Linked DNA regions of Pelodiscus sinensis. The protein of the gene in region 4 purifies or fractionates together with the protein of the main gene of each other region. This does not show direct contact. Links are inferred from orthologs where the notes say so. Each region holds a gene or a part of one and is shown on either strand. Other genes may lie near its edges. The genes, in order: POLR1C, STAU1, EBNA1BP2 and NCL.

Region 1 (7,373 bases), on a different chromosome or scaffold from region 4:
CCAGGAAATAGATGAAGGAGGAGACGCCCAGCCAGTAACCGAAGCAAGTGCCAATGGCTGTGCCCATCAACGTGCCTTCCCTCTGCAGAGAGAGCAAGACAGTGAAGAAAAGGACAGAGAAGACATCTCACAGAACAGATACAAGCCAATCGCTACCCCCTCGCCAGCAGATTCCCCCTTGCCTTTGGCAAATGTTTAGCTAATGCCTGCCTAGCAGCATCCAGAGAGGGAGGATCAGTGATACAGTGCTAAACTGTATAGCACAAGAGGCCTGCAGAAGTGACCTCAAGTAGGTAATTCTGTCACGTGACAGATTTTAGGGATGATCTTGTGTGACATCACCACAGAAAGCCTCCATGTCCTAACGTTTTCTCTATCAGTAGATGAGACTTCAGTAATAAATACAGGTATCATAACATAAAACATGCATAACTCAGTTTAAGTTTGGCTTATAAAAGATAAATAGCAAAGTACATCCAAAACTCACATTTAGTCAGTAAAAAAGCCCAAAGGTGACACACAATAATCTTTACAAGTTTTAAATAAAAGCAGTGCTTACAGGTATGTTCCAGCTATATTTGTAGTGCTGCCCCATAAAACTAATTTAACTGGCTGATCAGACCAGCTTGACAATGATTTTCCATCCAGCTCCAACTTATCCTGACAGCCCTCACACACATCCCACTCCCAGCAGTGCCCAACACCTTAGCCCCCCTAGCCCCCCACTCACCTCAATATACTGCCCCCTCCACAGCTCCATCACTCTCAATCCCACTCACAACTCACCCTGGTACCTTTCTAGCCACTCCCTGGTAACCCCCAGTACAGCATCCTGTTCCTGTCCCAAGCTAGGGTGGCTCCTCCCAATCCTCACCATCCAGTCCTGGATTTCTGATGCAGGGGTGCATCTCTGGAATGCTCCAGCTGCACTACACCCTACGCTAGTTCATCCACTGCAATAGGCTTTTTCCCACTTCCCAGACAGCCCCAGAATAGGCCCTATCACACATCAAGGTTCCTGTCACCAATGCATTTCTAAGTCACACTCAAAATAGAAGCACCCCATGTAACTGACAGCAGTTCAAAGCCTGGTGCCAACCTGATTTGAAACTGAAATATTCCCTTACAATTATAGTGTCTGAAGTCTTCATCCCATGCAACAGGATAGCCACCAATGTGAAGACCAGCATAAGGGGGCCGTAGAGCTCACCTGCAATCTTCTACAAGGGTGACAGAGAAGAGAGGGGTTTGGTTAGTGCTGCAGAAAGCCAGACCACATTCAGATTACCTGGGAAGTACCCCAGACTTAGCTCATACTCTGGTCACTTGCTGACCTGAGCAATTATACAAAAGGCTGGTGATAGCTACCAAAGAGAAACAATCACATAAGTAAGACTTGAGGAAGAAGCTTAACAGAGTTATTGAGTCAGATCAGGAGCTAAAGTCATGCTTGTCCCACTGCAAGAGACAGGTACAGACGGGGTGTGGTACAGTGGGAATTAACCAGAAAATCTAGCAGAGGCACCATACAACAACATCTCTCTCACACAATTCATACATAATCAGTCACCCTGGCACATGCATGGCAAAGTGCTTTAACTAATTCCCTACTCTGGGAGAGGGGGGCAGAGAAAGAATGGAAGGCAAAATGAAAGGAGTCTGAGTCAGAGCCCAGGGTAGCCTGCTTTCAGGCCCAAGACAGCTGTAATTCACTTCTTGACAAAGTGAGCAAGAGCTGTCTGTAGCACTGTGTCAGCAGCACTTTGCTGACAGGCTTATTCCTTAGCAAACTGACAGTTTCAGAGAGCATTGAACTTGGAGGTGAATGTGAGTAGAGGGCAGGGCCCGATTGTCCCCTTGGTGCTGGTTGGAATTTCTGAACTCCCCTCAGGCAAAGGTGTGCAGCCTACTGATAGAGAGATGTGTGTGTTAGAAATATTTAACAACCGATTAAGTGCTCCTGTACTTTCTAAAGCGCATTTACTCAGGATATAGAATAAAAGCTCTCCACAGTGGAACTCACCTGGGGAAAATTAATCATCTTCATGGGGATCATGGATTCCAGCAGTCTGCACCTCACAGAAATATCAAGAGTGAGGAAGGAAATGAAAAAGTTAACAAGAAACCCAAGAAGCAGGAGATGCTGTATTCCATTCCCTGATCAGTGATACAAAGCTCCATATCTCTTCCCCTCTGACCCTCAACAAAGCCAGCCAGTCCCACTAACAGCCAGGCACCAGACTGGAAACAGTGCCTTAGAGGGGAAGAGGATTTGTATTGCAATCCTATCCCCCTGTGCACAAACAGTTTTCTCTGCCTGGTGTCCCGAGAGCAGGGTGACACCATGGCTATTATAAAGGAGATGTGCAAAGTGTTGCACTTGTGGGACAGATGAGGTTTTGTAGGGCTATGTATGCCCTTTCCCCACACTGTATGCAAGAGCAGTAACAATGAAAGGCTAAAGGAGCTGCTGGTTCAGCTCCACAAACCCTGTATCTTACACTTAGAATGGCAGCACTAGGCTATACATGAAACAACATGCATCTCAGGATGAACTGAGGGTAGCCCTTTAGGAATAATGAAGGGTAAACAAGGGAGGATCCTGGACAAATTTCCCCCAAAGGCTATCTCCATAGCAAGTCCATAAGCAGACGTGGATTAGTTAGGAGCTATCCAGGTCTTTATTATGTGAGAAACAGTGGGAGATGCTCCTCACTTTATGGCATGACCCTTCTGTCCTGTTCAGGTTGCATCTCTACCCCGTTATACTGGACCAGGAATACATGACAGGCCTTTCACAGTACCCCATGAAGGGGCCATAGTAGTGGACCGGGCTGCTCATACGAGGATGCGAGACTGAGATAACTGCATGGCCTAAGTCATTTGCCCCTGTGCTTAGTTTGCTCACCTGTTGCGAACCTGGATGGGCTCCACATCAAAGTAAGGTCTGAGAATATCAATGTTGGCATAGAGATTGAAGGCCTTCGACGCTTGTCTCTTACCTGCCTGCCACATCTGGGGAGAGAAATCAGTAACTGTAGCAGACTAAACATTCCCTTTGCAATGCCGTTCTGAGGCGCATCTCCTGGAACCAAAGCATCCAGTGGCTAAATAACCAGAATGAAAATTAAACATCTTTGGAGTGATCAGCATCCCATCCAAAGCCTAGGGGAAAGTAGGACAAAAGACATCAAGCCCAGAATGGGACTCAAGCTGTAGCACCCAGAAACCAAAGGTGAGATAGCTCAGGGTCATATTGGAAATGGCTACCTGGACCTAAAATGGGACTCAACATCTATAGCTCACTACAGTCAGAGCCAGACACAAGAAGGCAACACAGCCCGCCCCCCATCTCTTGCAGCGCTCTGCTCACCTGGTCAGCTACTTGCCGGCCCAGCTGTCCCTTAAAACCCTTCATGCCCAGGAACTCTCCATCCTCCTCGTCTGCCGCAGCAGCTTCTGCATCCACCTCCTCCTCCTCCTTCATGCGCTGGTGCATCTCGCCCATGTCCTCGAAGCTGGAGCCAGACGTGTCGTCCATGTTCTCCATGTCGATCACAGCGGAGCCGCCTCCCTGCGCCCCAGGGCAAAGGGTCGGGGAGTCAGGCTCAGCGCCAGGGCCGGGGAGCGCCCGTCCCAGCGCCGCGGCGCCCGCAGCAGGGCAGGCGCCACCCTAGCTCCCAAGCCGGGGAAGCGCAGAGCCGGGGGGGGGGTGTTGTGTTGGGGGGGGGCACAGCAGCGGCCCGCACCGCTGACAACCGCAGGGCCCCCCCGGCTCCCCCCTCCTCCCTGCCCAGCCCCGCACCTGCATATTGTCCTCGAAGCCGCCCCATTCCGCGGCGCTCCCGGGCCTGCCGCCGCCCGCCGCCGCCCCCCCGGGCCCGGACATCCTCCCCGTTGGCTGGGGGCACCGGGGCCCCCGGCCGCTCTGCGCCTCACTGCAGGGGCTCCGGGGAGCCTAGTCTGGAGACTGACGTGACTGACGTCAGAAGCCTCGGCAACTTCGGCCGAGGACGTGGATGCGCCTTTGCTCTCGCGAGATCTCATACTAGCGACCAGGTCTCGACGCCATCTTGGTTGTGGCATAAGAGCGAGCATGAAGGCGCCTCTGGGAGAAGGGTCTGGGGAGAGCGGTGCCTTATTATCAAGACAGCGTCAACCCAGCGGCGAAGACCCACAACCCCGCGATAGCAGTAGTGGCTGTTTCTTAGGTCAACGCCACACCCAATATGGTGAAGACCAAGTCGGGCTAAGGCGCCGGCGCCGCCAAAGCGGAAGGAAAGGTCCGTATCACGTGACAGGGCAGTGGGTATTCACTAATGCGACTGCGCAGAGAAGAGCCGGATTGTGGCCGTGTCACGTGCTGGGGGCGCGCCAGGAAGATGGCGGCGCGCGGCGGCGTGGAGGAGATGCGGAGCCGGGTGATACTGGGGGAGTTCGGGGTCCGCAACGTGAGTGAGTTGGGGGCCGCGCGCGAGGCAGGAGGGGGCCGGGCGCGCGCCCGGGTCTTGGTGAGCGGCGGTTGGGGGCGGTTTGCCCCTGGCACGCGGCCCCTGCTTCGCTCCAGCTCGGGGCTGGGCTGGCAAGATGCGGCCCCCTGACAGGGAGGGAGTCTGGCCGCTTCCTAGTCGCGCCCTGTGGCCCTGACCCCGCGTTTCCAGGCGCGGCTCGGGCAGAAGGCTCCTGTCCAAAGGGCTCACGAGCTGTGGTGCTGCCCCGGCAGGGGCCGGAGCCGCGCGCCCTTTAAATAGATGCGGTAGCCGGGCAAATGCAGCAGCAGCGTCGGGAGCCCTTGAAGTTGCCGCTGTTTAAAGGGCCTGCAGCTCCCGGCCCTGCCGCTTCGTGTTGCCTGGCGGCCGCCCGGGACTCCCGATCGCAGCACTGCCCGGCAGGGGCCGGAGCCGCGAGCCTTTCCAATGGCCGCAGCAAGCCCGGGCGGCTGCCGGGCAACGTGGTGGTAGCAGCAGGGCCGGGGCCCCGAGCCCTTTGCGGTGTTTTTACTTCAGAACCTCCAGCCCCAGACAACTCCGGGGAGAGGCGAGTCCCCAGTGTCTCCCCTTTTGCCCCAGGCCCTGCCCCTTCTGGCGGAGGGGGGTTGAGCCAGCCCATGACTAACATTCATGAAGTGGCCCACCCCCAAAAATTACTGCCCACCTCTGCTCCAGGTTCACACCACGGACTTTCCTGGCAACTACCCTGGCTATGACGACGCTTGGGACCAAGCCAAGTTCGAACAGGTAAGAAGCCACTGGGGACCCTTAATGGGGGGAAGAAAGGGGGTCTGAGCAGGCAGGGGGCAGGGAACCAGTGTTCCCTCTAAGATATTTTCCTTCCATGAGCGAAGTGAGTTTTGTCTTCTGTGCCTATAATGAGGTCACGTGCACTTGTTCGGATGTGTGTCACCATATCCCCCACCAGTGGTGATACTTCTCAAGAGACTCTCCCAGCATGCAGACCTGAGCTCTGCTCCCAGGGCAGACTCTGCCCCCTCGCTGCTCTTCCCCAGGCTGGCTGAGAGTCCCTGCCTGAGGCTGAGGGAAGCTGCTGCCAGTGCCCAGGGTTTGCAGGGAATTAGGTGCTGGGGCTGGCAGGAGGTTGCAGGGGTAGGGAACTCTGAGGGGAGAAGAGACGTGTGGGGGTGGGAAGAGGGATGAAGTGGGCCCCAGCCCCAGGAACAGCCTCACCACAGCCCAGCTCCAGCCTTGGCCTCAGGAACAACCGCTGCCCAGCAACCCGGCTCCAGCTTCAGCAGCCCACCTTTCCCCTGCAATATGGCTTGCCCAGGAAGCAGCTGGGCAGCCACTACACAGCCCTGGCAACAACTCCAGCTCTGGGGAAGGTCAGGAGCAGGCCCCAGCCCCTGAAGCAGCCACCCTCCATGCTGCCACATGGCCTGCCGTGGCCAACAACTTCAGCTGTGGGGAAGGGCTGGAGCTATGGTCAGGGCTGCATGGTGGCTGCCCAGCTGCTTCTTAGGTGGGTTATGTCGCTGGTAGCTACCCTGTGTACCGGGGCTGGGGCTGGGGCTGGAGCTGGCTCCAGCACCAGCACACAGGGCAGCTACCCACCATACAGCCTATCCCAGGAGCAACTGGGCAGCCACCATGCAACCCTATCCCTCCAGTCTCCCACAGAGCCTACCGCCAGCAGCTTACCTTCCAGTGGCTCTGATGAAGAGGTGGGCGGGCTTCAAATTCTTTGTGCACGCCTGTGCAGGCATGCACCCTAGAGGGAACTTAGCAGGGAACCTGTGAGGGACCAAGGCCTTGCAAGCGGCGGGGGTTGGGGGGGGAGAGACATTGGGGTCTCCTGTGGCTGGCCTCTGCAGCCCCATAGCAGGTGGCCATTAGCCACCTGCTCAATACCCCTCTGCACCTGGCAGCAGCCAACAAGGCTGAGCCCCTCCTCGTGAATTGGTACCTGGTGACTGCTCCCTTGCGTGTGCCCTACAGAATTTCCGGGTGGACGTGATCCACATGGATGAGAACACGCTGGAATTCGACATGGTGGGGATTGACGCAGCCATTGCTAATGCCTTCCGGCGCATCCTGCTCGCTGAGGTACCCACAGAGGCTTCCGGATCTTCATGCCAGGGCTGCATGACCCAGTTGCTAGTCCCATCAAATCCTGTCATGTCTTTTCTCACTGCTAGACCTGGCTAATGTTGAGCATCTTTGCGATAGACAAAAAATGTATCCTAACCTTCTCTTTCTCTGCCCAGAAGCTAGATTGTGTTAACTGGTAAAGAAGTTTGAAGGCAGGCCAGCTGGGGCACTAGCTCCTGGGAGTGTTGGGGGGAGTGAGACCCAGATCTTTGGAAAGGTGAGATTGTGACTGAAGAGTATAGAGAAGGCAGAATCTCCGAACTCAGTGAGGTGGAGAATAGGCTTGAAGTGCACTGAGGATATTCCATGGACTACAGAACTCAGTGTGCTCCAGGTAGTACAGTCTTTGACCCTGTAAACTAGAAGTTTATGTAATGAGTTTGTGTAAGAGAGCACCAGTGCTAAAACAGAAATTGTTGCATTTCTAGGATGAGAAGTATAGTCCAGCTGCTAATAGCTATTAAAGAGCCTATGCACAGATCTATGTCTCTGGTATAGGGCCATGTTCTACAACTGCTCATAATGGGTAATACTAAATCCTATTAAAGTTAGTGGTAACATTCAAATTATTAGCAATTACACAACACAGTTATTGGGAGGGAACCAGCAAACAGAGAGAGGGAAAGTGGTAAAAGCAGGGAATGAAGAAGATACAGGATCCTGATCTAGATCCTCCTTTGGTGATGGTATCTGTGAAGGGCAAGAGTTTGACTTACTCCAAAGAGGGTGGGGTGGAGCAAAAAAACTTTTGGCTGGGTATTAAGGAAT
Region 2 (8,233 bases), on a different chromosome or scaffold from region 4:
CCATTACTTTACATCTCCTCTAGACTCCTCAAAGCACTCTTACTCTAGTCTTCACTCAGCTTCCACTTCTATATTCGCCTTGTGTCATTTGTTTCATCATCCTGCCTGTTCACAACTTTTCCAAGTAGCCATGACAAAGGCAAAAACATGATCATCAGTTTCACTTATAGTAGTAAGAACACAATGGCAACAATGAAACCGATTAAGTCTGCTGTCTGCAAACCCAGGAAGACAGAACCACATTACAAAGTTGGATTTTCCTTATGACTATAAAAGCTAACACTTTTTTAAACATGAAAGGTTAAATACTGCAGGAATTGATGATGCTCCTCTCTCCTTTCCTTTCTTCCCCCTCTACACCAAATCATTATTGGAACCTCAAGTCCAAATTTCCACAAACTCCAATAGCTCTGAAGAGTTAGATCACTTTACAAAATATTCCACAATAATCTATATCAGGGCATGCCTATACTATAGAAAAACAGCTGCAGACACTTATTGCATTAAAATAATGTTTTTTCTTTCACAGAAGAGGCAGTACCTATGTCGATGGAAGAATTCTTTCGCTGGCCTACACTTTGGGGAAGGCAGGCAAAAGCGATGACCTAACTGGGTCAATCTCTCCCTCCCCTCCCCCAGCCTTGAACAATATAACTAGGTTGACCGGGGTTTTAGGTGTAAATCAAACCTCAGCGACCATGGCTTAACCTACAGTATGAAGCAGCTCTGATGGGACTGAGTATTTAACTTTTATAACTAGTGTTAAAGTAGACTAGACAAAGATTTATTATTGAAAGATTAAATACCTGTCAAAAAAGGACACTGGCCTCTCGTTCTCTATCAATTACAGGAAAAAATGAGTTACCAGAATGCAAAAACACTAACTGAGCAAGGTTGCATATCTGGACAACTTTCTATAAATCAAAGAAAAAAAAAAAAAAAACCCTCAAAAGCTAATATCTGTGTCAGTATAAAATAGAGCTAAAAATAATTAAAATAGGTGATATTTACATATTGCTTCACAAACAGAGAAGACAACACCCAGGAGAGAGGATGTGGATTAATGATAACTGAGATAACACGTAAGCCTTTAAATGCTAACAGTTTACGCTATCACAAAAATAATTAAAATGAAACATTTATTTTTCTAAAACATTACAAGCACATTTTTTTTAGTTATTAGTCCAGTCCAATAAAATAATCAAGAGACCTACCTGCATCATAAATATATCTTTATGTCTATGAAAATTTATCAGTGCAACTGTTGAAAGTCTTGTTATAACAAATAAAATTAACTCCTCTTTTTTGAATTATAAATGTGCAAAAATAATCAAACCACTTTCACAATTTCTAAATTTACCAATAAAGACTATTAAATGGGGCTTTAAAAATCCAGACATTTGTAGGATAAAATGTATATTATTCAATGACATCATGATACAAGCAGCCCACTTTTTAAATTTACCTCTCATCCTGTAATTGTATCTGTGCAATTGTGCTGATATAGGTAAATCTGTAGATAGTTTAACATCTGCAGATTGACTTGACAGAGACCAACACAGGAAAAAAAAATTGAAGATATGAAACATTCGAGAAGCCTGGCTGTCAAAAGCTATTGATGTTAGTGGGTTTTTTTTTAAACTTACACACATACACAGTACAGTTTTGTTAAAAATGAAATTGTATAACCCAATAAGGATTTTGGACAGGGAAGTGTGCAAGTATGTGTGTGTGGATGAGGGAGGGAATCAATTATTCAGGGGACATCTACACTCAAGTTTTTTACCTGGTTAACTGATTTCCAATTAGCTTTAAATAGTTAACACTATAATGACATTTCTATTTCAAAAATATAGGAGTTCCTCCCCCGCCATAGTTCAGCCATTGCCACAAGTTACTGTAGTTGTATGTTAAAGTGAGAATTATAAGGGTTAAAAAACCTCAGAAGATCTTTATGAATCTATTTTACACATTTGCTACACAAGCAGGGGATAGAGAATTATATTGATGGTCTGGCATTTTTTGTGTATGTGACTGTGATCTAACCTCTCCATCCTCACACATCACATTCTTCCACCTCTTTAGGCAAAAAAAAAAAAAAAAAAAAAAAAAACACACCACATAAAGCTGTTATATACAGGAATGCCAATTCTCTTTTAGAATATGATCTGACGAAGTGTGTCTGGCCCATGAAAGCTCATCACCTAATAAACTCTCTCATTAGTCTTTAAAGTGCTACATATTTTTTCCATCTGTGCATCAAGATACTGTCTACCGGGGCTCTAACACAATGGAATAGCAGGTACGGACTGGACAAATGCTCCTATCCCACAGGCGTAACGGGGGAACAGAGCTTTCCCAGGAACCTGTTGCTGTTACAGCTACCAAAAACTGGTGTCACGACAGGAAAAGGGGGTGGCTGATGCTGCAGCTGACACCCACTCTAGCGCTATGCGCGGGAGGTGGGGGTGGATCTTGCGCTGCAGCTGCCTATGAACCTGGGGGTCGGTGCGTTTAACGGGGCGAGGCCCGGGATACTCCCCTCAGTTGCCTCCCCCACGGACAGGGAGCCGAATCCTACCCCGCGCGGCCCGCTTCCCTTCACAAGCCTCAGCCAGGCCCCGCTCTGTAACCTGAGCCAGGCCCCCTCGCCCTACGCCAGGCCAGGCCCCCCACGGCCCGCTCGCCGCGAAGACGAGTCCGGCTCATGCCCGCCAGGCGAAGGGGAATCCTGCCCTTGCCCGAGCTGCTCCCTAGCGAGCACCGACTCCCACGCCCGCCCAGCAGGAGCCCCGCTGCCGGCCTCCTCGCGCACCCCACAGCTGGAGGCACCAGAGCCGCCGCTACCCCCGCTAGGCCCCGCCGCCTCCCCCCGTCCCCCTGCCCGGGAATCCGGAGCCGCCCCCCTCACCTGGCTGCCTGGGCTGCGGCTCCCGGGCCGGCTGGTGCTGCGGGCGGGCAGGCGGGCGTCTCAGTCCATTGGCCGGGTCCCGAGGCGGGGGGTGGGGGTCTGGGAGAGGGGGGGCAAATCGCAGTGGCGAAGGGAGGCGGCGGACACAGGGCAAACACTAAAGAGAATGAGCGCCGGGGGCAGGCCCGGCCGGGGAGGAAGTGACGACACCACGCCGGGAGCGAGGAAGCCAATCAGAAGGACTGTAGTACCGGATAGCACCGCCCATTGTAGCCTTCGCAGCCAATCCGCCGGCGGACCGGCGCGGAGCGCAGGCCTCAGGCCGGACTGCAGCTCCCGGCATACACCGCTCGCTCAGCCCAGCTCACCTCCTAGGGGACTACAGCTCCCGGCATGCTCGGCTTCGCTCGGGCGCTCGCCGTTGAGGGAGGGGGACTTGAACTTGGTCAAACTTTCCCGTGAAGCCGGTGCCGGACGCGGCCCCGGGCTGGGGGTACCCGGAGCCTTTCAGCAAGCAGGGCCTGAAGCTTCGATTCATGGGGGCTGGGCAGGCTTATCCGACCGCCGCGTGGTTCGGGAGCCTGCGGGGGGCAGGCACGGCCGCAGTGCTCCAAGCCCTTCCCCCCACTGGGGCCTTTGTGGGGGCTGGGACCCCCCCACACACACACCCCCTCTCTCTGTCGTGGGGGGTTAAGGGGGTGGAAATGCAGAGAGCGACGGGCGAGGCGATTGCCACATGGCACTGAGGGGAGAGGGAGCCAAGGGGGCCGTGTGGGTTGGAGCCAGGAAATAATTCAGCGACGTTGAACCTGAAGATAAGACATCCAGGTCCCTAGAGCAATGGCGCTAGTATTGACTTCTGCATTGGGGAAGCTGTAGTGCCACCGTGACACTGTACTGAGGCCTACCAACCGGGGGAGGCAGGCAGGGGAAGCTGCCTTGCAACTACAGTGGTAAGAGCCAAAGCTCTGGGCCCTTTAAATTGCCACCAGAGTGACAGACACTTCAAAAGAGTAACCAAGTTAGTCTGTAACGACAAAAACTTAAAAAAAAACCCCACAAATAGCCTTGCAGCACCTTAAAGACTACAAAAACATGTAGATGACATTATGGGCTTTTATAGACATAACATAACCCACTTCTTCCGATGAAAGGTTCAGTTTCTAAATAAATAGGGCACACGGAGGAAGAGGGGAAAAGGGAGGGGGAGAAGAGATAGAGTGTACATGAAGCTGATAGAGAAGGTGCAAATTATTTTTTTGATGTCATTAGGAATGTAGTTGGCCATCCAGCTAACGTCTCTATTCATACCTTTGTGATAGAACTTAACTTCATTTACAGGTTTGATTCCTAAGGCTTCCCTGTATACAGGCAGTCCCCGGGTTACGTACAAGATAGGGTCTGTATGTAAGTCGGAACTGGCGTCCAGATTCAGCCACTGCTAAAACTGACCAGCGGCTGACTACAGGAAGCAGCTTTGCTCCATGTCTCCCTGGTCTGCTGGAGACCAGTAGACCAGGAAGACGTGGAGCAAAGTCGCGGAGCACGCGGGCAGCGGACAGCCCAGACGCGCTGCGGCTGTCCCGCTGCCGGCGTCCTCAGAGGCTTTGCTCCCAGTCTCCCTGGTCTGCTGGTCTCCAGCAGACCAGGGAGACGCGGAGCAAACCCCGTTCGTAACTGCGGATCCGACATAAGTCGGATCCGCGTAACTCGGGGACTGCCTGTAGTTGGCTTGTGAAATTGGCCTGAAACAATAGTGACTTTGAAATCCATTAATGAGGGCCTGAGCAAGTTAAAATGTTCCCCACCGGGTTCTGTATGTCGCCTTTTCAGATATCTGATTTGTGTCTATTAATTCTTTCCCATAGGGACTGTCCAGTTTGACTAATATACATGGCAGAGAGGTACTGGTGGCATATGATGGCACAGATCATCTTCAGACAGACACACACCAGGTGGTTCTGAAGGCTGGGAGGATACCAAGGTCTAGGTAGCCCAGAAGGCTCCCTGCCTCAACCTTCCCCCCAGCCTGCCCCAGTGGATGAAAGAGGTTTGCAGCTCCCTATAGACTGAGGCTGTATCACACTGGTGCGATCTCACACAATACTGGCCGCTCTTGCACAAAAACTTGCTGCCTGTCTACACTGGCCGCGTGTTCTTGCGCAAGTAAACTGACGTTCTAATGTATAAAATCAGGGCTTCTTACATGAGAACTGACGCTCCCGCTCACGAATAAGCCCTCTTGCACAAGAGCTCTTCCAGAAGAGTTTCCTGTCTACACTGGCCATGAATTTCTTGAGCAAGAAAGCCCTATGGTTAAAATGGCTATCAGAGGTTTCTTGCGCAAGAGAGCATCTACACTGGCATGGATGCTCTTGCGCAAAAGCACATCTCTTGAACAAAAGCACATGCCAGTGTAGATGCTTTCTTCTGGAAGAGTTTTTGCAGAAGAACTCTTCTGCAAAAGAGTTTTGCATGAGAACGTGCCAGTGTAGATGTAGCATTTAGGGAAGTGATTATTCTCTTTGATTCAGGACTGGTGAGACCACATCTAGCGAATTGCATCCAATTCTTTGGGCCCCCTATTACTGAAAGGATGTGGACACACTGGAGAAAGTCCAGCGGTGGGCAACAAAAAGGGAGGCCAGAGCAAATGACTTACGAGGAGAAGCGGAGGATTTGGGCTTATTTAGTCTACAAAAGAGAAGAGCGAGAGGGGATTTGATAGCAGCCTTCAACTTCCTGAAGGCAGGTTTCCAAAGAGAATGGAGACAGTCCGTTCTCAATTGTGAAAAATGGCAGAATGAGGAGCAATGATCTCAAGTTGCAGTGGGGGAGATTGAGGATGGATATTAGGAAAAATCTATTTCACTGGGAGGGTTGTGAAGCATTGGATTGGGAGGTGATGGAATCTCCATCCCTAGAAGTTTTTAAGTCCTGGCTTGACAAAGCCCTGGCTGGGATGATTTAGTTGGGATTGGTTCTGTTTTTAGCAGAGGGTTGGACTCCATGACTTCCTGAGGTCTCTTCCAATTCTGTGATTCTATGAAAACTGAAGCCCAAGGGCTTCAACATCAGGAGGGTCGCCTAAGTCCCAATACGTTTGTCCTTGACTGGTGGGGCTTGGCTTTGGCCCTGGATCCCAGCAAGTCTAATAGTGATAGAAATGTAGCCGTGTTAGTCTGGGGTAGTTGAAGCAAAATGCAGGACAATGTAGCACTTTAAAGACTAACAAGATGGTTTATTAGATGATGAGCTTTCGTGGGCCAGACCCACTTCCTCAGATCAAATAGTGGAAGAAAGTAGTCACAACCATATATACCAAAGGACATGCAAGGCACTACATTTAGCCGTTTGGAATGGAAATCCATCAACCATATGAAGAAACTCGCACAGATACAGACAGACATCATCTTTCTATCCAAGTGCAAGAAAATGGACATCGTACCCAAAGGACTGAAAGTGAACAATCCACTAAGATCCTTTTCATATTTGTTCATTTTTTTTAATTGTATCCTTTGGTATATATGGTTGTGACTACTTTCTTCCACTATTTGATCTGAGGAAGTGGGTCTGGCCCACGAAAGCTCATCATCTAATAAACCATCTAGCAAGTCTAAGCCAGCCCTGGGAGCCCCATTAAAATGGGGTTGTAAGACCCACTGCTGCTTTATGCTACTATAATAAAAGTAATTAGTTGTAAATGATTTAAGAAATATTGCACTGCAATTACAAAGGCTTTAGGACAGGAACATGATCACTATGATTGGTTGTTTGGCCTTACACTTGTGCTCCACTGAACTTTATACCTCACTGTTTTATTTGAACAAAAAGAAAGGAACTTTTTACTTAACAGTTCCTACTTAAAAAGCTATTACTGTATACTTCTAGAGAATAAAAAAACGCAGTAAGGAAAAATTTAGCAGGTGTTTTACGGATTTGACAGTATTAATTATTGACTCCAAAATGGCAGTCAATATGTTATACACTAGACAACTATGTGGCTCCTGCTTCAAAACAGTATGCAGTCTTACATGCACACATTTCCAAACTAATGGTTGAACATTAAAAAAGTAAGACCTCACAGTTTATGGAGATTTGTTTTTCTCTGATTATTCAGTATTTGAAGTTGATGACTAGCATCATTAAACAGGATTAATTTTTATTCTCACACCTGTCAAATTCCAAAAAGTCTGATCACACTGAAGTTATAGAGAAGATGCCTGTATAATTACAACCAATAACTAGGGGTTGGAACAGAGTTGGACAGGTATTTCCTTCAGAAAAAGTTCCATAACTTACAATATCCTCATGGCTGAAGTGTGTATCAACTGAAGGTCTATACCCTTTGAATACAAAAAATACATGTAAAAGGCATTCAGAAACAAGAAGCATGGCCGTGGCCTAGACAGCTATTTCCTATTTGCTTAGTTTACATATAGGATTTCATTTTGCACACATAGCAGTCTGTCCTCCCCCAAACACTCCCCTCCCCCAAGAAACTGTTTATCTATAAGGGAAGATTACTCACCTTGTGCAGTAACTGGAGTTTAAGACAGTTGTCCCCGTGGATGCTCCACCTTAGATGTGCCAGTGCTGCTGCGCCCATGGTTGGCAGATTTTTTTTTATAGCTGTACCCCTTTGGTTGGAACTAAGGAGGCGGTTGTCTGTGCATGCAGAGTGCTGGCACGTGATGCTTGGAATGGTCATCCCACGCGCACAGTCAACCACCTCCTCAGTTCCTTCTTTGACCTGGTTGTAGTTGGATCTGAAGCCAAGGAGAGGAGAGTGGATGGTTGAGCACCCATGGGGACAGCCATCTCAAAGAACTCCAGATACTACACAGGGTGAGTAACCTTCCCTTCGAGGAGTGTTCCCGTGGGTGCTCCACCTTAGGTGACTACAAAGCAGTGTTCGTGCTTGGTGGTGGGTGCTTTGGCAGCACTGACTCAGAGAACAGTTCGGCCAAAGTGTGTGGTACTCCTCAGGAAAGCTGTTGTCTCGGCCATTGCACTCGTATGCAACCCGAAATCCATTTAGATCAGTGGTCCCCAACACGGCGCCCGCCAAGTGCTCGGGGCTGGCCTGGCCCTGGGCACGTGGCGCATGCATGATACCAGAGCCGGCCCCGGGTGCATGGCGCACGGTGAGCGCCGGCCCCGGAAGTGCCGCAGATTGGCTGCCAGCGCTCTGGGCGCGTGGCCCTAGGAGGGGGCGGTGGCCCTGGGCGAGCGGCACTTGGGGGGGGTGCCAGCCCCGGGCGTGCGGTGCTGGGGGGGGCGCGCCGGCCCCAGGCGCGCGGCGCTTGGAGGGGGCCCCGC
Region 3 (7,790 bases), on a different chromosome or scaffold from region 4:
AATGCCACCCAGAAACTTTTGTGACTTTTTGTAACTACAACTCTTGTATATGTAAAGTTATTATTATACAAAATACTGTATGTGAAACATTAATTAGGGAATGTATGTAAGAGAGAGAGTGCTTGGATGATGAATGAATGGTTTTGAGAGGTGCCAGCCTGAGAATGCAGCAACAAAGGGCTGAAGAAGGCGTCAGGTGCCAGTGCAACCAAAAGGTGTCAAGTGGAGAAAACCAAGTACTGGAGGTCCACCCTATGAGATTACTGACAAGCACCTGACAGCCACCCTGGACATCAGCATGATGCAGCAATTTCCATAGACTGGCATAGGAAGAAATTCCTATAAGAACTGGACTAAAAGACTATGGAGTCAGAGTCCAAGGTTCTGCTGACAGCCTACCAGGAGCTTCAGATGTGCATCTGATCAGGACTTCGCTCCCCACTACCATCACTTGTGTACAGAATACCTGGCCAGTATTCTGTCACAAGCAACTTCCAGGCTGGTAACTATAACAAATACATAGAACTTGAATGAATGGATGAATGATTGAATGAATGTTTATATATATGTATATGTATATGTATAAAGGTTAAGTAGTGATAGGAATAAGTAGTTAAAAAACGTTGTTTGCTTCTATCTTTTCTTTATTCTTTATTCTTATCTTTACAATAAATGTGGCTTTTTGCCTTATCCCTCTCATAAGATCCCGCTTGCTTTTATTGGTACAACATTTTGACCCCTCCATAGAAGTGTAGTCCATGACCACTTACCAAACTCTTGGAATGCCGCCCCCACCCTCCACTAAAAATTATTGCCCACCCCTGCAGTATGCTGTGGTGGAACATTGCTAGTCTAATAGGGGACGCTTGACATTGTAACTTATCCCTCTACCACAACTCCTTTCCTCGTATAGTGTTATGTGTTCTCATCTGCATTCTCTCTCTTTTTCCCCACACAGCATTGAGAAATACAGGAAACCCTTGCAATTTGCCGTAGCTGCATTCTTGGCACCACTGCGAATGGCGAAATTCACCAATGCTGGGAGTCACTGCTCCCAGTCACCTCCAAACTCACCATGGAACTCACTACTGTGAGTTCACTGCAGAGGCCGGGAGCCAAGGTAAGTCCCCCATGGCTGCTGGCCCCCGTGTCCCACTCAAGCCTGGAGTAAGGATATTAAGAAGCGAGTAAATCTGTTAAATGTGTAGTAAACAAAAACTTGGTTGACTACACAACTAATTGATAAGGGATAGCACTGTTACCACTCAATCCACCAACTACCCCTCCTGTGGCTCTGCACTACAAGCACTTGTACTGCAAAGTGGCAAGGGGGGGTTGATACCGGTCCTGGCACTAAAAGCCGGCATGCGGGCAGACTGGCTCAGTCCCAGCTTGCACCAGGACCCAGTATCAATCCCCACTGCGGCTCTGCACTATAAGCACTAAGAGCTGTCACAGGGATTGATACCAGGTGGGAGCTGGGACTGAACCAGCCTGCTAAACCTTAAAGGAGATGGGGAGGGGAGTGTGGCGTGTAGTAGATAATGTTAACTGATAAGCGTGTTAATCATTTAGTCAACTACACAAGTACATCCCTCGCCAGGAGACACCCACAAATATGCAGAATTGCAAATAACAATTCTGCAAATTGTGAGGGTCTTCTATATTTTTCAAGCCTGTCGGTATGAAGTTTACCTCTTTGTCGGTGATGACAGATTCTTCTGACTCAGACTCTGACGACGACTGATTTTCATAATCTGCCATCTTTTTAACTGGAAGAAAGAAAGAGATAAAGATGATATGTACTCTGTTCAATTTGAATTCTCATACTGCATTCACCTCTGTATCTACAGACCTGCATAAGGATGTATAAGTGTCTCATTTGTACCCAGCTTGGCCAAAAAGAGATGGTTGATTGCAGAGTGGATGGTGTCATATTCCCTGTGCAGGGACATGATGCTAGATTCAGGTAGGGGTACTCCAAGAATTTGGTAAGTGGTCAAGAGCCATATTCTTCCATGCTAATGGAGGAAATGTGGGGTCTGGGATGGAGGTTTGGTGCAGAAGGGACCTCGGAGTAGGGGATTGGGGTACAGCAAGGGGTGTGGTGTCTGGGATGGAGTTTGGGTGAAGGAGGAGGTTGTGACCTGGGGCAGGAGATTGGGGTGCAGAATCTGGGAGGGAGTATGACTGCAGGAGAGGATTCTGACCTGGAGAAAAGGTTTTGGAGAGGGTACAGAGTCTTGGACAGAGGGGTTGTGTGCAGAAGTAGGGTGCCAGGCACAGATCTAGCCAGGAAATGCTTATCCTAAGTGTCTCATGACCAGCATCCCAGCAGGACTCTTGGTCAGGCTCCCTGCCTGTCATACCCCACACACTGCTCAAAGTAACTGGCTGCTAGGGCCATGTTTGTTTCTCTGCCACATGCTTGTTGGGGAGCAAACCATCCACAAGCACTGCCCCAGCAACTCCCATTGGCCAGTTTCCAACCAATGGAAGCCGTGAGACTGTGCATGGGGCAGTACATAGAGGCACAAGCATGGAGCTCACGGCACAGAAGCACACATGGTCCCAGCGCGGGGCCTGTCAGGCAGGGATTAGGGATGTTCAAATATGTGTAATTAGTAACTGTGTAACTGCTGAAAATGTCAGTGGTTGCGTGCGAGGAGCTGACTTTTAGAGAGTACGTCATTTTATAGGGAACAAAGACTTTTAATGCTGCGACTGTTAACAGTAGTAAAGCCACGTGTGTAACCCCCCTTTCTGTTTGTTACTGCAGATAACCCTTCAGGTTACCATACATGACATCTAGAGACAACAGCTCGCCGCTCTCCCTGCAGCAGCGCCATCGGAATCACACGCGGCTTGGCCGCCCGCCTGTTCCCCTGGGAGCCGCGGAGGGAGCAGCGTCACGCGGACGCCTAGAAGAGCAGCCGCGGCGCCCGGGCTGCGCTAGGAGCGAGGCCGCGGCGCAGGGGCTCGGCCCTGGGGCGCGACGGCACGTGCCGGCCAAGCGCGCTGCACCGTGGGCCTTGCAGTCAGCGCGCGACCGCTCTTACCTCCGCAGCCAGCTCCTGCCCCTGCCACGCGCGTGGACCCGCCGCAGCCCGCGCCGCCTCGAAAGTTCACTTCCGGCCTCTCCAAGGCCGCCGCCGCATGCTCACTTCCGCTTCCGGGTCAGAAGCGCTGGGTCTCCATGGCAACCAGGCGCTTGGTGCTGGCCGAGTGAAGCCCCGTGTCTCTCGCCCCGCGGCGCGGAGCCACCATGTCCGTGATCGTGGCCCAGCCGCTGCACGTCTTCGGGCTCCGCTCGCGCGTGGCCAACTGCGTGTGCTACTTCGACGAGCAGATCATCATCTACCCCTCGGGGAACAGCTGCCTCAAGTACCACCTGGAGCAGCGCTGGCAGAAGTTCATCCCGGGTAAGAGTCTCCCGCCCGACCCTTCTTACCCGGGATTGCCCCGTCTGTACCGAGAGAGGGCCCCAGAGCACTGCTGGGCACTGTGCTAATGAGACTGCAGTCCCTGCTAACACCCCCAGTGGAGGCATGTACACACGTGTGTGCTTCATATGCCTAGCTGCTGCTGGGCACTGTGCTAATGAGACTGCAGTCCCTGCTAACACCCCTAGTGGAGGCGTGTACACACGTGTGTGCTTCATATGCCTAGCTGCTGCTGGGCACTGTGCTAATGAGACTGCAGTCCCTGCTAACACCCCCAGTGGAGGCGTGTACACACGTGTGTGCTTCATATGCCTAGCTGCTGCTGTGCACTGTGCTAATGAGACTGCAGTCCCTGCTAACACCCCCAGTGGAGGCGTGTACACACGTGTGTGCTTCATATGCCTAGCTGCTGCTGTGCACTGTGCTAATGAGACTGCAGTCCCTGCTAACACCCCCAGTGGAGGCATGTACACACGTGTGTGCTTCATATGCCTAGCTGCTGCTGTGCACTGTGCTAATGAGACTGCAGTCCCTGCTAACACCCCCAGTGGAGGCATGTATACATGTGTGTGCTTCATATGCCTAGCTGCTGCTGTGCACTGTGCTAATGAGACTGCAGTCCCTGCTGACACCCCCAGTGGAGGCATGTATACACGTGTGTGCTTCATATGCCTAGCTGCTGCTGTGCACTGTGCTAATGAGACTGCAGTCCCTGCTAACACCCCCAGTGGAGGCGTGTACACACGTGTGTGCTTCATATGCCTAGCTGCTGCTGTGCACTGTGCTAATGAGACTGCAGTCCCTGCTAACATCCCCAGTGGAGGCGTGTACACACGTGTGTGCTTCATATGCCTAGCTGCTGCTGTGCACTGTGCTAATGAGACTGCAGTCCCTGCTAACACCCCCAGTGGAGGCGTGTACACACGTGTGTGCTTCATATGCCTAGCTGCTGCTGTGCACTGTGCTAATGAGACTGCAGTCCCTGCTAACACCCCCAGTGGAGGCGTGTACACACGTGTGTGCTTCATATGCCTAGCTGCTGCTGTGCACTGTGCTAATGAGACTGCAGTCCCTGCTAACATCCCCAGTGGAGGCGTGTACACACGTGTGTGCTTCATATGCCTAGCTGCTGCTGTGCACTGTGCTAATGAGACTGCAGTCCCTGCTAACACCCCCAGTGGAGGCGTGTACACACGTGTGTGCTTCATATGCCTAGCTGCTGCTGTGCACTGTGCTAATGAGACTGCAGTCCCTGCTAACATCCCCAGTGGAGGCGTGTACACACGTGTGTGCTTCATATGCCTAGCTGCTGCTGTGCACTGTGCTAATGAGACTGCAGTCCCTGCTAACACCCCCAGTGGAGGCGTGTACACACGTGTGTGCTTCATATGCCTAGCTGCTGCTGTGCACTGTGCTAATGAGACTGCAGTCCCTGCTAACACCCCCAGTGGAGGCGTGTACACACGTGTGTGCTTCATATGCCCTAGCTGCTGCTGTGCACTGTGCTAATGAGACTGCAGTCCCTGCTAACACCCTCAGTGGAGGCGTGTACACACGTGTGTGCTTCATATGCCTAGCTGCTGCTGTGCACTGTGCTAATGAGACTGCAGTCCCTGCTAACACCCCCAGTGGAGGCATGTACACACGTGTGTGCTTCATATGCCTAGCTGCTGCTGTGCACTGTGCTAATGAGACTGCAGTCCCTGCTAACACCCCCAGTGGAGGCGTGTACACACGTGTGTGCTTCATATGCCTAGCTGCTGCTGTGCACTGTGCTAATGAGACTGCAGTCCCTGCTAACACCCCCAGTGGAGGCATGTACACACGTGTGTGCTTCATATGCCTAGCTGCTGCTGTGCACTGTGCTAATGAGACTGCAGTCCCTGCTAACACCCCCAGTGGAGGCGTATACACACGTGTGTGCTTCATATGCCCTAGCTGCTGCTGTGCACTGTGCTAATGAGACTGCAGTCCCTGCTAACACCCCCAGTGGAGGCATGTATACACGTGTGTGCTTCATATGCCTAGCTGCTGCTGTGCACTGTGCTAATGAGACTGCAGTCCCTGCTGACACCCCCAGTGGAGGCATGTATACACGTGTGTGCTTCATATGCCTAGCTGCTGCTGTGCACTGTGCTAATGAGACTGCAGTCCCTGCTAACACCCCCAGTGGAGGCATGTACACACGTGTGTGCTTCATATGCCTAGCTGCTGCTGTGCACTGTGCTAATGAGACTGCAGTCCCTGCTAACACCCCCAGTGGAGGCATGTACACACGTGTGTGCTTCATATGCCTAGCTGCTGCTGTGCACTGTGCTAATGAGACTGCAGTCCCTGCTAACACCCCCAGTGGAGGCATGTACACACGTGTGTGCTTCATATGCCTAGCTGCTGCTGTGCACTGTGCTAATGAGACTGCAGTCCCTGCTAACACCCCCAGTGGAGGCGTGTACACACGTGTGTGCTTCATATGCCTAGCTGCTGCTGTGCACTGTGCTAATGAGACTGCAGTCCCTGCTAACACCCCCAGTGGAGGCGTGTACACACGTGTGTGCTTCATATGCCTAGCTGCTGCTGTGCACTGTGCTAATGAGACTGCAGTCCCTGCTAACATCCCCAGTGGAGGCGTGTACACACGTGTGTGCTTCATATGCCTAGCTGCTGCTGTGCACTGTGCTAATGAGACTGCAGTCCCTGCTAACACCCCCAGTGGAGGCGTGTACACACGTGTGTGCTTCATATGCCTAGCTGCTGCTGTGCACTGTGCTAATGAGACTGCAGTCCCTGCTAACATCCCCAGTGGAGGCGTGTACACACGTGTGTGCTTCATATGCCTAGCTGCTGCTGTGCACTGTGCTAATGAGACTGCAGTCCCTGCTAACACCCCCAGTGGAGGCGTGTACACACGTGTGTGCTTCATATGCCTAGCTGCTGCTGTGCACTGTGCTAATGAGACTGCAGTCCCTGCTAACACCCCCAGTGGAGGCGTGTACACACGTGTGTGCTTCATATGCCCTACCTGCTGCTGTGCACTGTGCTAATGAGACTGCAGTCCCTGCTAACACCCTCAGTAGAGGCGTGTACACACGTGTGTGCTTCATATGCCTAGCTGCTGCTGTGCACTGTGCTAATGAGACTGCAGTCCCTGCTAACACCCCCAGTGGAGGCATGTACACACGTGTGTGCTTCATATGCCTAGCTGCTGCTGTGCACTGTGCTAATGAGACTGCAGTCCCTGCTAACACCCCCAGTGGAGGCGTGTACACACGTGTGTGCTTCATATGCCTAGCTGCTGCTGTGCACTGTGCTAATGAGACTGCAGTCCCTGCTAACACCCCCAGTGGAGGCATGTACACACGTGTGTGCTTCATATGCCTAGCTGCTGCTGTGCACTGTGCTAATGAGACTGCAGTCCCTGCTAACACCCCCAGTGGAGGCGTGTACACACGTGTGTGCTTCATATGCCCTAGCTGCTGCTGTGCACTGTGCTAATGAGACTGCAGTCCCTGCTAACACCCCCAGTGGAGGCATGTACACACGTGTGTGCTTCATATGCCTAGCTGCTGCTGTGCACTGTGCTAATGAGACTGCAGTCCCTGCTAACATCCCCAGTGGAGGCGTGTACACACGTGTGTGCTTCATATGCCTAGCTGCTGCTGTGCACTGTGCTAATGAGACTGCAGTCCCTGCTAACACCCCCAGTGGAGGCGTGTACACACGTGTGTGCTTCATATGCCTAGCTGCTGCTGTGCACTGTGCTAATGAGACTGCAGTCCCTGCTAACACCCCCAGTGGCGGCGTGTACACACGTGTGTGCTTCATATGCCTAGCTGCTGCTGTGCACTGTGCTAATGAGACTGCAGTCCCTGCTAACACCCCTAGTGGAGGCGTGTACACACGTGTGTGCTTCATATGCCTAGCTGCTGCTGTGCACTGTGCTAATGAGACTGCAGTCCCTGCTAACACCCCTAGTGGAGGCGTGTACACACGTGTGTGCTTCATATGCCTAGCTGCTGCTGTGCACTGTGCTAATGAGACTGCATTCCCTGCTAACACCCCCAGTGGAGGCATGGACACACGTGTGTGCTTCATATGCCTAGCTGCTGCTGTGCACTGTGCTAATGAGACTGCAGTCCCTGCTAACACCCCCAGTGGAGGCATGTACACACGTGTGTGCTTCATATGCCTAGCTGCTGCTGTGCACTGTGCTAATGAGACTGCAGTCCCTGCTAACACCCCCAGTGGAGGCGTGTACACACGTGTGTGCTTCATATGCCTAGCTGCTGCTGTGCACTGTGCTAATGAGAATGCAGTCCCTGCTAACACCCCCAGTGGAGGCATGTATAC
Region 4 (7,893 bases):
ACAGAAAAGTGAATTTTGACTTGCCAGAATCATCTTCATCCTCCTCACTGTCATCATCATCCTCGTCCTCCTCCTCATCCTCCTCTTCCATCACTTTTTTCTTTGCATTTTTTCCATTTTTAGCTCCTTTGGCTGGAGTGGGAACTGCTTTCTTGGCTTGTGTAGCAACTGCCTTCTTGGCTGGAGTGGCAACTGCCTTCTTGGCCGGAGTGGCAGCCTTTTTGCCAGGTGTAGCTGCTGCTTTTGGGGTTACCACCTTCTTCTGAGGAACACCCTTAGGGAAACAAGACAAATCCAATGAGCATACGCAACTCCTAAATTGATTGTTCAGCTAATGAATGATATCACTACCCATCCCACCACAACCACCTATCCACCACAACCATTCAGCAAGCTAGCTCTTCTACTGGAGCACCTAGAAAGAGGGCCAATGACTATACCATAGAGCCACCTTGGCGGCTCACCACGGACTAAACGACTGTCCTTCATTTACATATAAAATATAAATCTCCCTGTTACATATGAACTTGTGCCACACCTATGCCTGTTTCTGCATCACCCACCCCCCGCCGCTTCCCTCCACATCTTGGACCTCTTGTGGTGGTGGGGTTAGCAAGTGCAAAGAGAAACCAATATTAAAAGTGCTTGGTAAGCGCTGAGTATTACCAGGTACCCTTACTAACAGCTACTTTGTTTGTGATAAAATACCCATAGCTAGCAACTCTTGAGTATTCGAGGGATGTAAAAATGTGAACCCATAGCCACTAAAAATAATGAATTACATGTGCTGCATGCACTGCGATATAAAACTTATATTGCAAAGCCCAAGCAAAGCCTCCCTTGGAGTGGAGCCAGCAGAAACTGCTGCTGGTCCCACTCCCAGGGAGAAGGCTCTGTTGCCAGCCCTGCTCCTGGGAGCCATCGTGTAAGCTGCAGGGGGTGGGAACCGCCATGGACAGCACTTGCTCCGGTGGTCCTGGCACAGCTCCCTGTCCTGGATAGGCGGGAAGGTGCTCCAGCCCCCACCAGTTAACCGGAACTAATAAACCTCAGCCGTTACAGATGAGGCTTACCGGATAAGCTTTTACATCCCAGTATTCTCCCCTAGCTTTATGGGAAAAGAACAAATTGGAAAATAATTAGTTCACTGAAGTGTTCCCTCAATACACTCAAAGCTTTACAGTGCTACATTTGAAGTCACTGTCTCAATCTATTTATTCCTCTATTTCATTCAGTGAAGGCTTCTGAGTTGTGTTTCTCAAATGATTAATTTTCAGTAACGTGTAACTGAATAGTTGCGTAATGGCATCATTTTTTTAAGCAGATACATGACTATTCGATAGTCCCTGGGGTGGAGCCGGTATCCAGAGCACTCCAGCCCCACACCTGGGCAGCCCCCGTGCCACTTTGCCCCCCCCCCTTACTGTCTGATATGGGGGCAAAAGTGCAGAGCAGCAGCAACCCCTGTCTGTGGGGAGATCCGAATTCCCTACAGAACTGCCTCTGCTTCGTAACAAAGGCCGGGGGGGGGGGGGGGGGGGAGAAGAGGAGGGGCGCCACATGTAGCTGACAGGATGAACTGGTAAACTTTTTTTTTTTTTTTTAATTGTATCCTTTGGTATATATGGTTGTGACTACTTTCTTCCACTATTTGATCTGAGGAAGTGGGTCTGGCCCACGAAAGCTCATCATCTAATAAACCACCTTGTTAGTCTTTAAAGTGCTACATTGTCCTGCATTTTGGTAAACTTAGGCTTTTTAGTTAATTGTTTAGTTAACTACGTGTCGACATCCCAATTCCCAAAGTAACATATAGCAAGCTAGAATCCAGATGTAAAATGATCACCTCTTCCTCACTGCTGTCTTCTTCCTCGGAGGACTCCTCCTCCTCGCTATCATCTACATCTTTTGGGGGGGGAGGAGCCACTTTCTTCTGTTTGGCTTGATTCTTCGGACTCTGGAAGAACGCACATGAGAGGTCACCCACTTAAGCTTCCATTGTAGAGAAATATATTTTTTTAAACGTAAAGTACCCCAAAGCCATAAAACACTTTAAGTCAAGATCCATTTTGACTTTTTCGCAAAACTGCTTCCAAACCGGCCTTGCAAGTGGTTGATTACAACGGGAGGGGGGGGGGGCACCCCTGCACGTCCACATCAAACCTAGGAACCTGCTGGCCTGTGTCCCCCGCATTAGGGGCCCAGGCGCTTCCCACACCACGTGACACGCCTGCTCACGAGCCACAGGGCGACTGCAGAAATTATTTTTTTACTGGACCAACTCCTGCGGGGGGGGGGGGGGGGGGGGAATAAGCCACGCGGAGCGCAAACCCGCCGAGGCTGCGGTGTGCGCGCAGGCGCAGAGCTTTAATGAGACAGTGGATGGAGAGGGGGGGGGGAATCCCTGGTGTATAGACACGCTGCCCCCCCCCCCCCCTTCAGACAGGGCCAAGCCCGCCCCCTATCGCGGCTCGTGCAGCCGGGGCCTCGCAAGCGCCGGGCGCCACAAAGGGCCTGGAACCACGCGGGACAGGCCGCGCCGCGTGCTCGCCGCGCCGGGGACACCACGTGGCCGCCCCACGCAGCCTGAGGCCTTCCCATCCGGCAGCGCGCGCCTCCGGCTCCGCCCCCCTCCTCTCCCCAGCGCGCGCGCGCCGACCCTCTGGCTTCCGCCGCGAGCCCCGAGGGGGAGCCTAGAAACAACTCCCCCCCCCCCCCCCCAACGGCCGTAGAGGGGCCTAGAAACCGCCCCGAACGCAGCGGCGCGGACCGCACCAAACCTAACGGGGGAGGGGGGAGGCACCATCCCCCCCCTCAGGGAGTCCCGAAACCCCCGCGCCAAGCGGCCTCTTCCCTCCCCCCTCCGGGCTGGGGCCTGGCCGAGTCCGCCCGGGCCTTCGGCTCGCCGCGCTGGGGCCTAACGGCCGCGGGGCCCCCGGGCCTGGCGCGCGCCGCGGGCCTCACCTTGGCGATCTTTACCATGATGGCGGCGGGGCGGCGCGGGCCGATCCGGGTGCGACAGGCGGCGGCGGGAGCAGCGACTCGACTGTGTGCTGCGCTGAAGTGAAAGAGTGAGCGCCGCCCCTCCCCCAGCCTCCCCCCTTGCTTATGCTTCGCTCCGCCCCCCATGGTCCCGCTCGGCCAACCCCTACGCGCGTCGCGCTTAGCTCCGCACGCCCGCCCAATCGCCGAGCTCCGAGGGGGGGGCATTCACACCAATCCGCGCGGGCTTGCCACCGGCCAATGGGAGCGCGCGTTACAGCGAGAGGTCCTGCCCGTTGGGGAGGAGGGGCAATATAGCCAATAGGCGGCTGCGCGCGGATGGGGTTCGGATGGGGGAGGGGATGGGGAAAAAGGAAGGGCGCAGCACGTGGCTCTGGGGGAACCACGTGCGTCTGGGACTTCACGCTGCGAGCACAGGGGTCGGGTCCTTACCCCATGGCGGGGGAAATGGGGGGAGACAGGAAGAGCCTGGGGCCGGCGATCAACCCAACCCTAGGGGCATGTGGCTGCATAGGAACCCCCGCCCAGGGACTAGGACAGGGCGATTTGCGCTGCTGATGACTTAGAGAGGGAGGTTTCTTAGTGATCTACACTCTTTTATGCTACTGCCCATCACCATGGTATCTGGGTTCCTTACAGTAGCAAAGTTCCTCACATATAATCAGGGTCAAATCTTGACTTTGGATAAGGACTCCCCCCTTTGTTTTGGTTTGTGAGAGTTTAAGATTAACCTATTTTCTCTCTCCCAATTTTCTTCCTTATCTTTTCCCTTCCTTCTTTATCCATCTTGCTCCTCAGTACTCTGTTTCTATCTTGTTCTTTGGAGGGGTAAGTCAACAATGCAAGTGAAGATGTAGTTGTAGTACAGTGCATTCCTGTGCTAGTTTTAATCTAGTTTAGGTAACAGTGGCACAAGTTAGCAATCAGAATGCATACCCAGGCTGCCCAGCTAGGCTAGTCTGTGATGAAGCCTTTGCCACCACTGTCCGGCTACGGTAGACTGTCATGTCTAGACTGTCATGATTTTCCGGAAATGCTTTTAACGGAAAAGTTTTCCGTTAAAAGCATGTTCGGAACAGAGCGTCTAGATTGGCACGGACGCTTTTCCGCAAAAGCACTTTTAGGCCAATCTAGACGCGCTTTTGCACAAAAAAGCTCTGATCGCCATGTTCGTGATCGGGGCTTTTTTGCGCAAAACTAATCTCAGCTGTCTACACTGGCCTTTTTGCGCAAAAGGGACTTTTGCTCGAACGGGAGCAGCATAGTATTTCCACAAAAAGCACTGATTTCTTACAGTAGGAAGTCAGTGCTTTTGCGGAAATTCAAGCGGCCAGTGTAGACAACTGGCAAGTTTTTCCGGAAAAGCTGCTGATTTTCTGGAAAAACTGACCAGTCGAGACACAGCCTCCATGTGTGCTTTACTGTCTTTGGTTACCAGTGCTACAAATCACACTGTCACTTGCAGTATGTATAGACATACCTGCGGAACACAGGCCAGACTGTGGGTTATGCTCACTTCCAATGGCAAGTGAGATAATTTTGCATGGGCAGTGGGTGACGCTTCCCCTGGGGGAGGCTAGCTCCGTGTCCAGTCTTCACCATAGCATTACTGACCCTGTCCACACTCCACCTCAGGTCCCGTCCCCCCCCAGCCTCCGTGCTTCACTCCTGCTGCTGCTGCTCACCACATCCTTCTCACTCCTCCCCCCACTGCTCGCTTCCTCACGTGCTGCCTGCCACTTCCCTCCTCACCCCTGGCACAGCGGGGATGGAGCATGTGGCGGAGAAGAGGGACACAGCAAGTGGTGGGGACTTACTGAGGAAGGGATGGGGGGGAGGGAGCAATAGAGTAAATGAGGAAAACTCACCAGGAAGCACAGCTACAGCAGGAGGTTAGGGTCTTGGGGAAGAGACGGTGCATCCATGAACCAGGTGGAAGGCAGTGATGGCCGCCCCCTGCCTATCACACTCACCACCCTGTGCAATCTTGAATTTAGATGGCATAAAAAGTAAGAGCCGTGGCACATAAGAACGCCTAGACCAAAGGCCCATCTAGCCCAGTGTCCTGTCTTCTGACAGTGGCCAATGCCAGGTGCCCCAAAGGGAATGAACAGACCAGTGATTTATCCCTCATAGACTTGGAGGGTGCCTCTAGACTGGCAAGATTTTGTCTAGGGTGCCTCTAGACTGGCAAGCTGTCTACACTGGCCGCTTGAATTTGCGCAGGAGCGCTGACTTTGTAATGTACAAAATCAGTGCTTTTTGCACAAATACTTTCCCACGCCCACTCGGGAAAAAGCCCTCTTGTGTAAGAATACTTGTGCAAGCGGGCCAGTGTAGACAGGGAAGAACTGTTTTGAGCAAAAAAGCCCCGATGGCTAAAATGGCGATCGGGGCTTTGTTGCGCAAAATCGCGTCTAGACTGGCCACGGATGCTTTTGTGCAAAAGTACTTTTTGTGCAAAAGCATCCATACCAATCTAGATGCGCTTTTGTGGAAATACTTTTAACGGAAAAACTTTTCTGTTAAAAGTATTTCCGCAAAATCATGCCAGTCTAGACGCAGCCATAGGCTTTTAAGGTCAGAAGGGACCATTATGATCATCTAGTCTGACCCCCTGCACAACGCAGGCTACACAATCTCACCCACCCACTCCTGAAATAATCCGCTCACCTATATCTCAGATATGGTTTAAAGACCCCCAAGATGCAGAGAATCTTCCAGCAAGTGATCCGTGTCCCATGCTACAGAAGAAGGTGAAAAACCTCCAGGGCCTCTGCCAATGTACCCTGAAGGAAAATTCCTTCCCGACCCCAAATATGGCGATCAGCTAAACCCTGAGCATGTGGGCAAGACTCACCAGCCAGATACTATAGAGAACCTTTCCTGGGTAACTCCTATCATCCCTCCATTGGCCAATTTACCATTGATAGTGAAAGGTCAATTAGTTACCAAGATCATGTTATGTCATCAAACCATCCCCTTCATAAACCCATCCCTTGTCACCCATTCCTAGCTTCTGACAAACAGAGGCTTGGGACACCATTCCTACCCATCCTGGCTAATAGCCATTGATGGGCCTAACCTCCATGAATTTATCTAGCTCTTTTCTGAACCCTGTTAAAGTCCTGGTCTTCGCAACGTCCTCTGGCAGGGAGTTCCACAGGTTGACAGTGAAGAAAAACTTCATGGTTTGTTTTAAACCTGTTACCTATTAATTTCATTTGGCAACCGCCTAGTTCTTGTGTTATGGAAAAGAGAAAATAACAGTTCTTTATTCATTTTTTCCACACCAGTCATGCTTTTATAAAACTCTATCATGGACCCTCCTTAGTCATCTCTTTACATGCAGATGACAGATTCCATTATACACACTAAATAATCTTTGCTGTTGGTAGATCCTATTCTGTACAAAACAGCTAAGATTTCACAGTGCAACCTGTATAAATCCAGTACATTTTAGCTGACAACACTGTCGAGAGCCCATTAGGCATGGCATTCTTCAAACAGAGTGGCTACGTCTACACTGGCCCCTTTTCCGGAAGGGGCATGTAAATTTCACTAGTCGTCGTAGGGAAATCCGCGGGGGATTTAAATATCCCCCGCGGCATTTAAATAAAAATGTCCGCCGCTTTTTTCCGGCTTTTAAAAAAGCCGGAAAAGAGCGTCTAGACTGGCCCCGATCCTCCGGAAAAAGTGCCCTTTTCCAGAGGCTCTTATTCCTACTTCCTCTTATTTCTTATTCAAAGTAGGAATAAGAGCCTCCGGAAAAGGGCACTTTTTCCAGAGGATCGGGGCCAGTCTAGACGCTCTTTTCCGGCTTTTTTAAAAGCCGGAAAAAAGCGGCGGACATTTTTATTTAAATGCCGCGGGGGATATTTAAATCCCCCGCGGATTTCCCTACGACGACTAGTGAAATTTACATGCCCCTTCCGGAAAAGGGGCCAGTGTAGACGTAGCCAGTGAGAAGCAATCCCCGTCTCAAACAGCTTAATCTATAAAATGTCACCCCTATCTGGAAGTGTAGACATATCCTTACAACACCTTCTGTCAGTGGCACCTATCACTTCATTTTCTGTGACATCACAATTCCCTAGGACGTATTAGTCACTATATTCTCCATCTCTGTGGCATTAATTCCCCGCCCACTCTGTACCGGAAGGCTGCAATGTAACAACTTTAACCAACTCAACATGTAAGTAGAGAGTGTGACAGAAAAAGGAAGATTGCATCTGCCTGACATGCAAATCAGCTAAATCTGCAAGGGGCTGGAGTTTAAATCTCTCACTCAGGGTTTTCCAGGAGGAGGCGTCAGAACCTCTATTTTTAATTTAAAAATCATAAAAACTGGTTTTTTGGCCCAAAATATAAGGCAGGAGGCAGATCTTCATAACCCACGAGTTGCTTGAGCTGACAAATGCAGAGAAGCTGTGAGCATAGTTAACATTCCCTTGAGATGAAGGGGAAAGAATTTCTCACTTTTCTTGTCGCTATTATTTTATTCTTTCTGGGGATTTACAGCGGATGGAAAAGGGCAAAACTGTAATTCAGCACAGGCTTGTCTTTACTAGAACACTAAATTGTGTCTAACAATGTTTTTAATTATGGTAGAGGGCCTGCTGCTGGCCACGTCTGACTCAACAGGGCACAAAAGGACAAGCCGTGGTCAAAGCAAGCATCATGTTGCAAGTGGTGGGTAGACCGGGAGGCCAGTAGATTTTCTCCTGAACTAACTGACAAAATGTTGACTATCATTTGCCCATGTCTGTGCTAGGGATGTAAAATCCCATTTCATTGGTTAACCAGTCAACCATGTTTAACTGGTTAATTGATTAAAGAGGGACAGGTGGGGGGTGCCTGGGTCGGAGCTGCTGTAGCCTTGCCAGGGCA

What was found.
Region 1: the proteins of NCL (region 4) and POLR1C purify together in Homo sapiens (affinity purification with mass spectrometry; 3 studies listed by BioGRID and IntAct, with this or other methods). This does not show direct contact. The link is inferred for Pelodiscus sinensis from reciprocal best matches to the Homo sapiens genes NCL and POLR1C.
Region 2: the proteins of NCL (region 4) and STAU1 purify together in Homo sapiens (affinity purification with mass spectrometry; 4 studies listed by BioGRID and IntAct, with this or other methods). This does not show direct contact. The link is inferred for Pelodiscus sinensis from reciprocal best matches to the Homo sapiens genes NCL and STAU1.
Region 3: the proteins of NCL (region 4) and EBNA1BP2 purify together in Homo sapiens (affinity purification with mass spectrometry; 3 studies listed by BioGRID and IntAct, with this or other methods). This does not show direct contact. The link is inferred for Pelodiscus sinensis from reciprocal best matches to the Homo sapiens genes NCL and EBNA1BP2.

What each region holds. Positions count from the first base shown.
Region 1 is NC_134713.1:139,251,432-139,258,804, forward strand, and holds the start of POLR1C (DNA-directed RNA polymerases I and III subunit RPAC1), read left to right. Parts: upstream 1-4,350; 5' UTR 4,351-4,382; coding exon 4,383-4,451; exon of another isoform or gene 4,452-4,455; intron 4,456-5,165; coding exon 5,166-5,237; intron 5,238-6,452; coding exon 6,453-6,560; intron 6,561-7,373. Other genes in the region: protein YIPF3, read right to left, coding at 1-82, 1,128-1,220, 2,024-2,069, 2,909-3,015, 3,374-3,574, 3,806-3,889. UniProt on the Homo sapiens protein: DNA-dependent RNA polymerase catalyzes the transcription of DNA into RNA using the four ribonucleoside triphosphates as substrates.
Region 2 is NC_134728.1:20,553,573-20,561,805, forward strand, and holds the start of STAU1 (double-stranded RNA-binding protein Staufen homolog 1), read right to left. Parts: upstream 3,076-8,233; 5' UTR 2,912-3,075; intron 1-2,911. UniProt on the Homo sapiens protein: Binds double-stranded RNA (regardless of the sequence) and tubulin.
Region 3 is NW_027465825.1:545,730-553,519, reverse strand, and holds the start of EBNA1BP2 (putative rRNA-processing protein EBP2), read right to left. Parts: upstream 3,195-7,790; 5' UTR 3,060-3,194; intron 1,773-3,059; 5' UTR 1,765-1,772; coding exon 1,696-1,764; intron 1-1,695. Other genes in the region: CFAP57 (cilia- and flagella-associated protein 57), read left to right, coding at 3,266-3,422. UniProt on the Homo sapiens protein: Required for the processing of the 27S pre-rRNA.
Region 4 is NC_134720.1:50,310,525-50,318,417, reverse strand, and holds the start of NCL (nucleolin), read right to left. Parts: upstream 3,100-7,893; 5' UTR 2,983-3,099; coding exon 2,965-2,982; intron 1,958-2,964; coding exon 1,847-1,957; intron 275-1,846; coding exon 25-274; intron 1-24. UniProt on the Homo sapiens protein: Nucleolin is the major nucleolar protein of growing eukaryotic cells. It is found associated with intranucleolar chromatin and pre-ribosomal particles. It induces chromatin decondensation by binding to histone H1.